Linked DNA regions of Coturnix japonica. Each later gene encodes a partner of the first gene's protein in a complex. Links are inferred from orthologs where the notes say so. Each region holds a gene or a part of one and is shown on either strand. Other genes may lie near its edges. The genes, in order: DRC1 and EFCAB2.

What was found.
Region 2: DRC1 (region 1) and EFCAB2 share a complex: the UniProt entries of both Homo sapiens proteins name them as parts of the nexin-dynein regulatory complex. The link is inferred for Coturnix japonica from reciprocal best matches to the Homo sapiens genes DRC1 and DRC8.

Annotation. Positions count from the first base shown.
Region 1 is NC_029518.1:96,153,717-96,158,027, reverse strand, and holds the start of DRC1 (dynein regulatory complex protein 1), read right to left. Parts: upstream 2,860-4,311; 5' UTR 2,816-2,859; coding exon 2,643-2,815; intron 2,241-2,642; coding exon 2,147-2,240; intron 1,620-2,146; coding exon 1,507-1,619; intron 472-1,506; coding exon 288-471; intron 1-287. UniProt on the Homo sapiens protein: Component of the nexin-dynein regulatory complex (N-DRC) a key regulator of ciliary/flagellar motility which maintains the alignment and integrity of the distal axoneme and regulates microtubule sliding in motile axonemes.
Region 2 is NC_029518.1:31,162,294-31,166,107, forward strand, and holds part of EFCAB2 (dynein regulatory complex protein 8), read right to left. Parts: intron 2,197-3,814; coding exon 2,124-2,196; intron 237-2,123; coding exon 157-236; intron 1-156. UniProt on the Homo sapiens protein: Component of the nexin-dynein regulatory complex (N-DRC), a key regulator of ciliary/flagellar motility which maintains the alignment and integrity of the distal axoneme and regulates microtubule sliding in motile axonemes.

The DNA.
Region 1 (4,311 bases):
CACCACCAAAGGTCGGTCATAGCTGGTAAGAAGATAGAGTGGAAGGTGAAACATCTGCAATAGGCCACTCCTGCTGCTGAGGGCCAAGGAACCTGCTCTGGAGAAGACTTGCTTCCCTTTAGGAAAACAATCCCCTTCTTGTCCTGGACCAACTGACACTGCATGCATCCCAGCCATGTGCTGGGGCCTCGGTGGGCCAGGGGGATGGCTGTTGCTTTAGAACAGCACCCTCCAAAGCTTGAAAACTCCAGTCCTCCCTGGTTACCTCCGCATGGCTCCCACACTACCTGCTGCAGTTCACCAATGAGCTTGTTCTTCTCATCCAGAAGCTGCGTGCACAGCTGCTGCTGTTGGTTCAGCAGCTGCCACAGATCCTGAGGGATTGTCATATCTTTGGCCAAGGCCCACTTCGAGGTGATCTCCTCAAACTTTTCAGCACTGTACTTGGCTACATTCTCCAGCTTCTCCACCCTGTGGGCAGTAGAAGAAGGTAAACCATCGCAGGGCAACAAGTGGTTCAGTGGCCTACACCACATACAAAGCCACAGGAACATTCTCCTGAATAACTTAGCTTGAAAAGTGGCATCAAGATGAGGCAGCAGGTGGGAGGTGACACAACTCCCAGCTACACAGCCCAACCCTGGAGAATCAAAGGGAGTGCTTTCCCTTTGTCACATGCAGCTGGACTGAGTTTCTCCCACACACATTCCACCACTGCCTCTCTGAAACCTTCCTTATGGGCTGTTTATGGGCTTAAAATATCCAGATCCTTATAGATAGGCTTAATAGAAAATATTCTGAGCAAGGAACTGATGCCTTGCTCCAGCCAGCCTCCCACAAACTGTTCCTACAGTGCCCTCCAAAGGCAATTAAGAGAAAGGACTCGGTGTTCCTCAACTGATCTGTGCAGGCAAGGCTGAAACAGCCAGACCCTTAGAGATCCCTCTGGTGGGGCAGGACAGGTTACCCAAGGCAGCCATAGAGAGACTGGAGAATAACTGAGGCTGGAAGAGCCTCAGAAAAACACTGGGTCCTGGTTAATGTAGGATTAACCAGGCAGAGCAGATGGTGCAGGGCCTCATTCAGGCAAGTGCTGAGTTGGAATATCCCTACATCACGATGGGCCCCCGAGCAAGCATCTAACCACCCTCACCATGAAGACATTTATATCCACTTCCTCACATCAGCACAGCCTCACATTTTTCTCAGTCCTCATACACAACTGCCTGGTGTGGGTGGCCCTGCACCTACTCATGCTATAGCTAATAACTACACTCACTGCTAAAAACACTCTGTAAAGATCCACCTGTGGCAGGTTGGACCTGGGAGCTCTTGGTGTCCTTTGGCAATTAACTGCAGTGCAACCCTAACTTTTAAGTGTATGTGGATGCTCAGAGTTAGGATGCTTTGCATGTAATGCAGCCATCTCGGGATGTGCTCAGAGAGCTGCACAAACATCTGCGTCTCTCCTTTCCAGCAGAGCAAACCCACACCACAGTCTCTTACCTCTGTTTCTTCAGCTCTGCCTGTTCTGCTCTCCTCTGTGTTTCCCTCAAGTCAGTAGCCACCTGGATTTCTGTCACCATCCGTATGCCTTCAAAGAGCAGCTTGGCCAACTTCTGTGAAGGAGATGATACACATACCTGTAAACTTCAACTCTGGAGGGAGAGATACTGGAGCTGCTCTCATGCTGTCAAGGCTCCAGATCATATCCCCACACTGTGAAACCTATGTAGACCCATAAGCTCCATCTTCTCATGTTCTAGCAGGGTTTGAGGAGCACTGGGAAGACCTCAGTGCACCCATGAATCCTCCTTCACTTGGAGAGCCCTGAAGGCCAGCAGCACAAAGAGGAACTGGCCCGTGCTCAGTGCACATTTCTGTTTTGCTTCCCCTATATTTGGACAGTGGGATATGAGTCTGGATGCACAGCTCCTATCTCAGAACCCTCCAATCCATGGGCATTTTGCTACAGGGAAATCTTGTCTTCAATCTATAGCCCATGAGTCTCCTCCCACTTGGTCCTACAGAGCTTCTGCCACTGTGTCCTTTCTCATACAGGCTGCTGGGTGACACTGAGTACTGCATGAAGCCAAATGCCTGCAGCTTAGGGATCCAAGAGGACCTTCCTGTCTTACTGTCATACCTGCCGGATTTCCTCCACCTCCTTGTGGCTGTTTCTCTCCTCTTCCACATCCTCATCCTCCTCCTTTGGTTCCTCATCTTCTCCAAGCTCTTGCCTGGGCAGCAAAGGGAAAAAAGACAGAATCATTTGCACTTCTATCTCCCTAAAGTTGCGAGATAACCTTGCAAAGCTTGTGACTCCATCCCAGCATAGAGAGAATGATTCAGCAGCCTCAATGTGCCCCGAGAAGTGCAGAAAAGAAGAGGAACTCATCCAAGAATGGTGGATTCCAGCACCATTGGCCATTCCCATTGGGATGGGGGACAGGCCTGGCCTTCATACAGTGCTGATGGGATGGGGGACAGGCCTGGCCTTCATACAGTGCTGATGGGATGGGGGACAGGCCTGGCCCATGGGGGTGTGGGTACAAGGCAGCAAAGGCAGCAAGGGCCTGGATAGGGGACAGAAGGGATCAGGCATAAGATTAGGCCTCGCAATGGCCGCCCCCTCTTCTCACCGCCGTTGGGCCTCGAGGCGGGCGGCGATGCGGAGACGGCGAGCGGCGATCCGCTCCTCGGGGCCAGGTTCGGTCGGATCCGGTTCCGAGTCCGGGTTCGGGTCCGTTTCAGGGGCCGATACCGGCTCCTTCCACCTCGACCCCGCCGATCGCTCACCCCCTTCGCGGCTCATATGCGAAAACGCGTTGCCTGGCGACGCAACTACTGCGCACGCGTAGTGGCACGGCGCTGCTGTTTTGCCTAGCAACAAGGATGCGGCGCATGCGCAGTAGCTGCGCATCCCCATAGAGACCCCATAGATCCCCATAGAGACCCCATAGACCCCATAGACCCCATAGAGACCCCATAGACCCCATAGAACCCCACAGAGACCCCATAGACCCCATAGACCCCATAGAGACCGCATAGACCCCATAGATCCCCCATAGACCCCATAGACCCCATAGATCCCCATAGAGACCGCATAGACCCCATAGATCCCCATAGAGACCGCATAGACCCCATAGATCCCCATAGATCAGACCCCAAAGATCAGTTGCCCATGGCCCGTCCAACCTGGCCTTGAACACCCAAGGACGGGCATCCACAACCTCCTGGGCAGCCTGTTCCAGGCCTAACCACTCTCCTAGTGAAGAACTTCCCCCTAACATCCAACCTAAATCTTCCCTCTTTTAACTTAAAACCATTTCCCCGTGTCCTGCTATTGTCAGCCCTTTCCAAGAGTTTACTCCCCTCCTGGCAGTAAGTTCCCTTCAGGTACTGAAAAGGCTGCAATGAGGTCACCCCGCAACCTTCTCTTCTCCAGGCTGAACAAACCCAACTCCTCAGCCTGTCCTCATGGGGAGGTGCTCAGCCCCCTGATCATCTTCCTGTCCCTCCTCTGGCCCCTTTCCAAATCTCCATGTCTTTTTGTACTGAGGCTCCACACCTGGACAAGTACTCCAAATGGGCCTCACAAGAGAAGATAGAGAGGGACGATCACCTCCCTATCCCTGCTGACCACCCTCTCCTGATGGAGCCCAGGATCCCATTTTGCTTTCCGGGCTGCCAGAGCGCACTGCTGGCTCATGTTGAGTCTCTCATCCATCCATCCCCCAGGTCCTTCTCAGCTGAGCTGCTCTCAAGGACCACTCCTCCCAGCCTGTACAGGTGCCTGGGGTTCTTCCGGCCCAAGTGCAAAACCTTGCACTTTGCCGTGTTGAACCTCATATAGGTTCACCCGAGCCCAGCTTTCCAGCCTGTCAAGGTCCTCTGCTGAGCATCTGTTCCCTCCACCGTATCGACGCGCACCACTCGACTTGGTGTCGTCAGCAAACTTGCTGAGGGTGCACTCCATTCCCTCATCGATGTTCATTAATAAAGATGTTGAAGAGCACCGGCCCAAGACAGACCCTTGGGGGACACGCCGTTACCTTTGAGGCCTCCACCTGAATAGATCCATTGACCACACCCTCTGTCTGCGGCTTTCAACCATTGCTTATCCATCTAGTTGTCCACCATCAAATCCACTTCCCTCCAATTTGGAGATGAGGATGTGGTGGGGACCATGTCAAAGGCCTTGCTCAGTCCAGGTAAATGACATTGTCGCCTTCTCTTCGTCACCAACGCCGTCACTCCATCATAGAAGGCCACAAATTAGTTAAGCAGACCTTTCCCCTGGTGAAGCAT
Region 2 (3,814 bases), about 65 Mb from region 1:
TGCAATTTTATGTAGACTACATCATTTTGAACTAAAATCTCCCTACCTACCTTAAATTTTTTAAAAATCTGTGTTCCTTCAAGTTACATAAAATTACTGCAGATACAATCATTCAGAATCAACCATGCAAAAAATTAAAGACCCAGTTTACATTACCTTCTGTTGAGTAATACTTTTGTCATCACTGGAAGAAATTTTCCTAGATTAATATATCCAGTTGGTTCTTCTTCTTCTACCTAAAAATAAGACTTAAGCATGGTAAGTTATATGAATCATTAGCAAACTAACAGAAGAATCAGAAAATTGAGGTAAGTCCTGCAATAAAATTACAGATTTAGACTTCAAGTGAAGTTTTCAATATGAAATTTTTTAATGTTACATGGCACCAGAACATATGCCTGAAATGCTTATGTTCAAATAGAAAGAAATTAAAGGAAGAAATAATCTCCCAGACAAAACACATGCCTGCTACTTCAGAAACTTACAACAACTCAATATTGCCCTCTTGTGCTTAGAAACCAATTGTGCAAAAGAACTGGACACTAACTCAGCAGAGGTTGAAAAATGCAGACTGCAGTTATATTAGTGGAGGTGGGTATGACCTGAAGCACCCCTAGGTTGTGCAACATAATCATCCATCACAACACACTATCAGCACATTCCCCAGTGTGGTTTTGGCCTGTGCCATCAAACCTTTTACCCAACAGCTACCAGGTCCAGTTTGGGCATTGGGACTGTAGAAACTTCTCCCCAGCAGCCATTTTGTACAGCCACCCAATATAAAACATTAACCAGCATATGCATAGGCTGCTCTGTGACAGCTGGCTTCAATATCCAAGGACATGTTTAATTTGCTAATTTGGACACAGCCCCGGCCTAGTACTTCTCAAGGATGGAATCTGTTGCCACCACATGTTTTGTAGCCAGTGAGGGTTCATGAAGAGAAGGTCCAGAGAAGCAGACAGACGAAGTCAGGGCAGTCTCAAACAGTCATAAGGCAGTCCATATATTACTGCCTCTCAAATAAATTAACAGATTAGTCCCCAAACATCACAGACTTCTAGTAGCATTCACATAGCATTCCTACATGATAAAAGACTGCTCCCTACAACTTGGATGCATCTCTTCCCTAAAAGTTGAAACTTTTATCCCCAAACAGAGCTCTTAATGGAGATAGTTTGCTCCTGTCTGTGTTGACACTGAATGCTTGAACTGTTGTCTCACAGTCACATCCTGCCAGAACCATCATAGACACAGCTCTAGAAGCATCCATTCCTATAAGTTATACTACTTTTCAAAAACAATGTGAATTCTTTTTCCCACTTCTTTGCCCCATGCAATAATCCCACCCTGCCACGGCACCATCACTCCTGCCTTTCCATTACAAGTATGTGTTGAGGAGATAAAAATTACAGCATGGGAAAAAACTGTACAGAAAGACAGTAGAACTTCCTTACCTCTCCACATCACTGGGAGGACATCTAAGTCCTGGGAGTCTTTATGTTTGAATTCTGACTTGCAGGCTTAAGTAACCAAGCAAGAAAAGATTACTTAACTGAGAAATCTCAAGACTGGGATAGGCCTCGGAAGGACAGAAAATTGAGCAGGCTGGCTCTAAGATGTAGTGGTAACAGAATCTATTGGAAAAAAACTGCCATGTCTTTTCTCTGCATATTTTTGGATTTTTATGTATAATTTTAATACCTGTTCAAGGATAAGTTTTGTTATTTAGTCATCCAGTGTTTGTCTATGGCATGTCCAGAGCAGCTAGATGTCTAGGGTTTGGGTGTCCAATCTAATTGCAGTTTAGGGAAATCTTTTTCATCAGTCAAAAACATTTTATCCCTCCATTTTCTACAGACAGTCCTCCACCATGGCTGTGTCACAGTGGCCTTTTGTGGTAAATGACAGTCAGACTCCCCATTTTAAGCCATCGGTGTTGTTCCCTCAACAGCATAAAGGTTTGTTTCATGGCAACTTGAGAGACTGCCTAGCTCACTTCCCTGACACAACGTCTTTTCACCTGCAGGAAAAGAACTTAGCTTTCTCATATAGCAAGGCAGAAGGGTCAAACTTGTACAAGTTCAAGACAGAAGATAATAGAAAATACGTAAATCCTTTACCTCTGCAAGCAGTTTACGTAGCTCTGCCTCAGTTGGGAAGCAACCTAAAGATCTCACAAGTGCACCAATCTCTCTGAAAGAAAGTAAAACAACTGTGTCACTGATTCTGCAATACAAGAGTGGCTGCAGAGAACATAACCATCAGTTCAGAGCTCGCATATAGGAGCATGCATGTATACAGATATGTTATTATGTATAAGTATACATATACCCCATATACTAATGTAAAAGTACCCCACCTGCATAAGTATATCTATATAGACTTTTAAGGTAATTACTCAGTAAGCAATGCCTACTTTTACAGACATCAAATATCTTGAAGCTTTTTGAAGAGTATAATTGTACCTGTGGGTTTCCCAAGAATTCCCTATTGCTCGTGTCCATTACTGAGTGCAAGTTAATTTTCAATTGATTTCCTGTAGTTATTAGGCTTAACTGCAATAAAGTCTACATTTACATAGTTAAAAAAAACACCTTGAAATCTATTGATGTGAAAGGTGACAAAAATATAGGTTTGTTTTAAATGCAATAAAGATACAAATTCTAACTGCAGAAGACAACAAATACAAAAGTGAGGTGGCCCTGCCGCATTCTTCCTGCCAGATGGATAATTCTATTTTCCTCCTGACTATAATTTAGTTCAGCAGCTTCAGTTTCTGCTGTGTAGTGTCCAGCATACAAACATGACAGTTCAAATTAGCTCCTGTTCGTATACATTTTGTAAGTCAGACACAATGACAACTGTGTCACGGTTTTCATCTTAGATAAGATATTCTCAGTGACAACATTTGCAAAATCATGGACATCACTGACATAGGATATATTCTAAGCAGGGGATTCTATGAAACACTATCTTCCTCAGGCTTAATTTCTTACTAATTCTTGTATTTGCATTACAAGTTACCCAGCACTCATGTTATCCTATTAAGCCAGTGTAGCTTTCTGTATCCTTCGCATTTATCTGTTATTTCAGGAAACAACACTCATGCTTCTACAATCATGGCTAAGAATTGTGCTGTGCTGCCACCTTCTGATATAAGATAACCAGACGTTAATAGTCATATTACTGTGACACAGCCCTGCAACACAAACGCAGGACAATAAACAAGGCAATAAATTGTTTTTCACTATTGTAACTGTTCTTTGATTAAAATTAGTTGTAAAACAGTTCATTTACAGTGTTACATAGACTTTGAATGCCCTTTCTCACATGTTATAACTTACTGGCTGAATGAAAACATTAAAAAGACAGTTCTATTTGTATCATTTAATTGTTGTAACGTTCTTCTCAAGCTCTATATCCATCGCAGAACTTAGTGAAGAGATAGAAACTTTACATCTATGCAGACAAGACTGCAGATGTAAACAACAAACAAACAAACAAGTATGGCATGGTACAGTGAAGGTCAGGGGTTCCTCAGTGCCACCAAACCAGCCAGGAACAGGCAGCTCAGGGGATAGCAGGGCAGCCCCAGCTCTGGGCACTGATCATCTCCCTGGATGGAGATAAACCAATAGACTTAAGGAAATAATCTTAAAAGAAAAAAGAAAAAACTTGACAGAGGATGAAATAGAATTGAACCAGATGTGGAGACTTGTCCTGAAATTCCCCCTACCTACTAAAACTGAAAAGTCATTTCACATGCGAGTTCCTCACATGTACTGTCTAATGACAAAATAATTTCATCAGC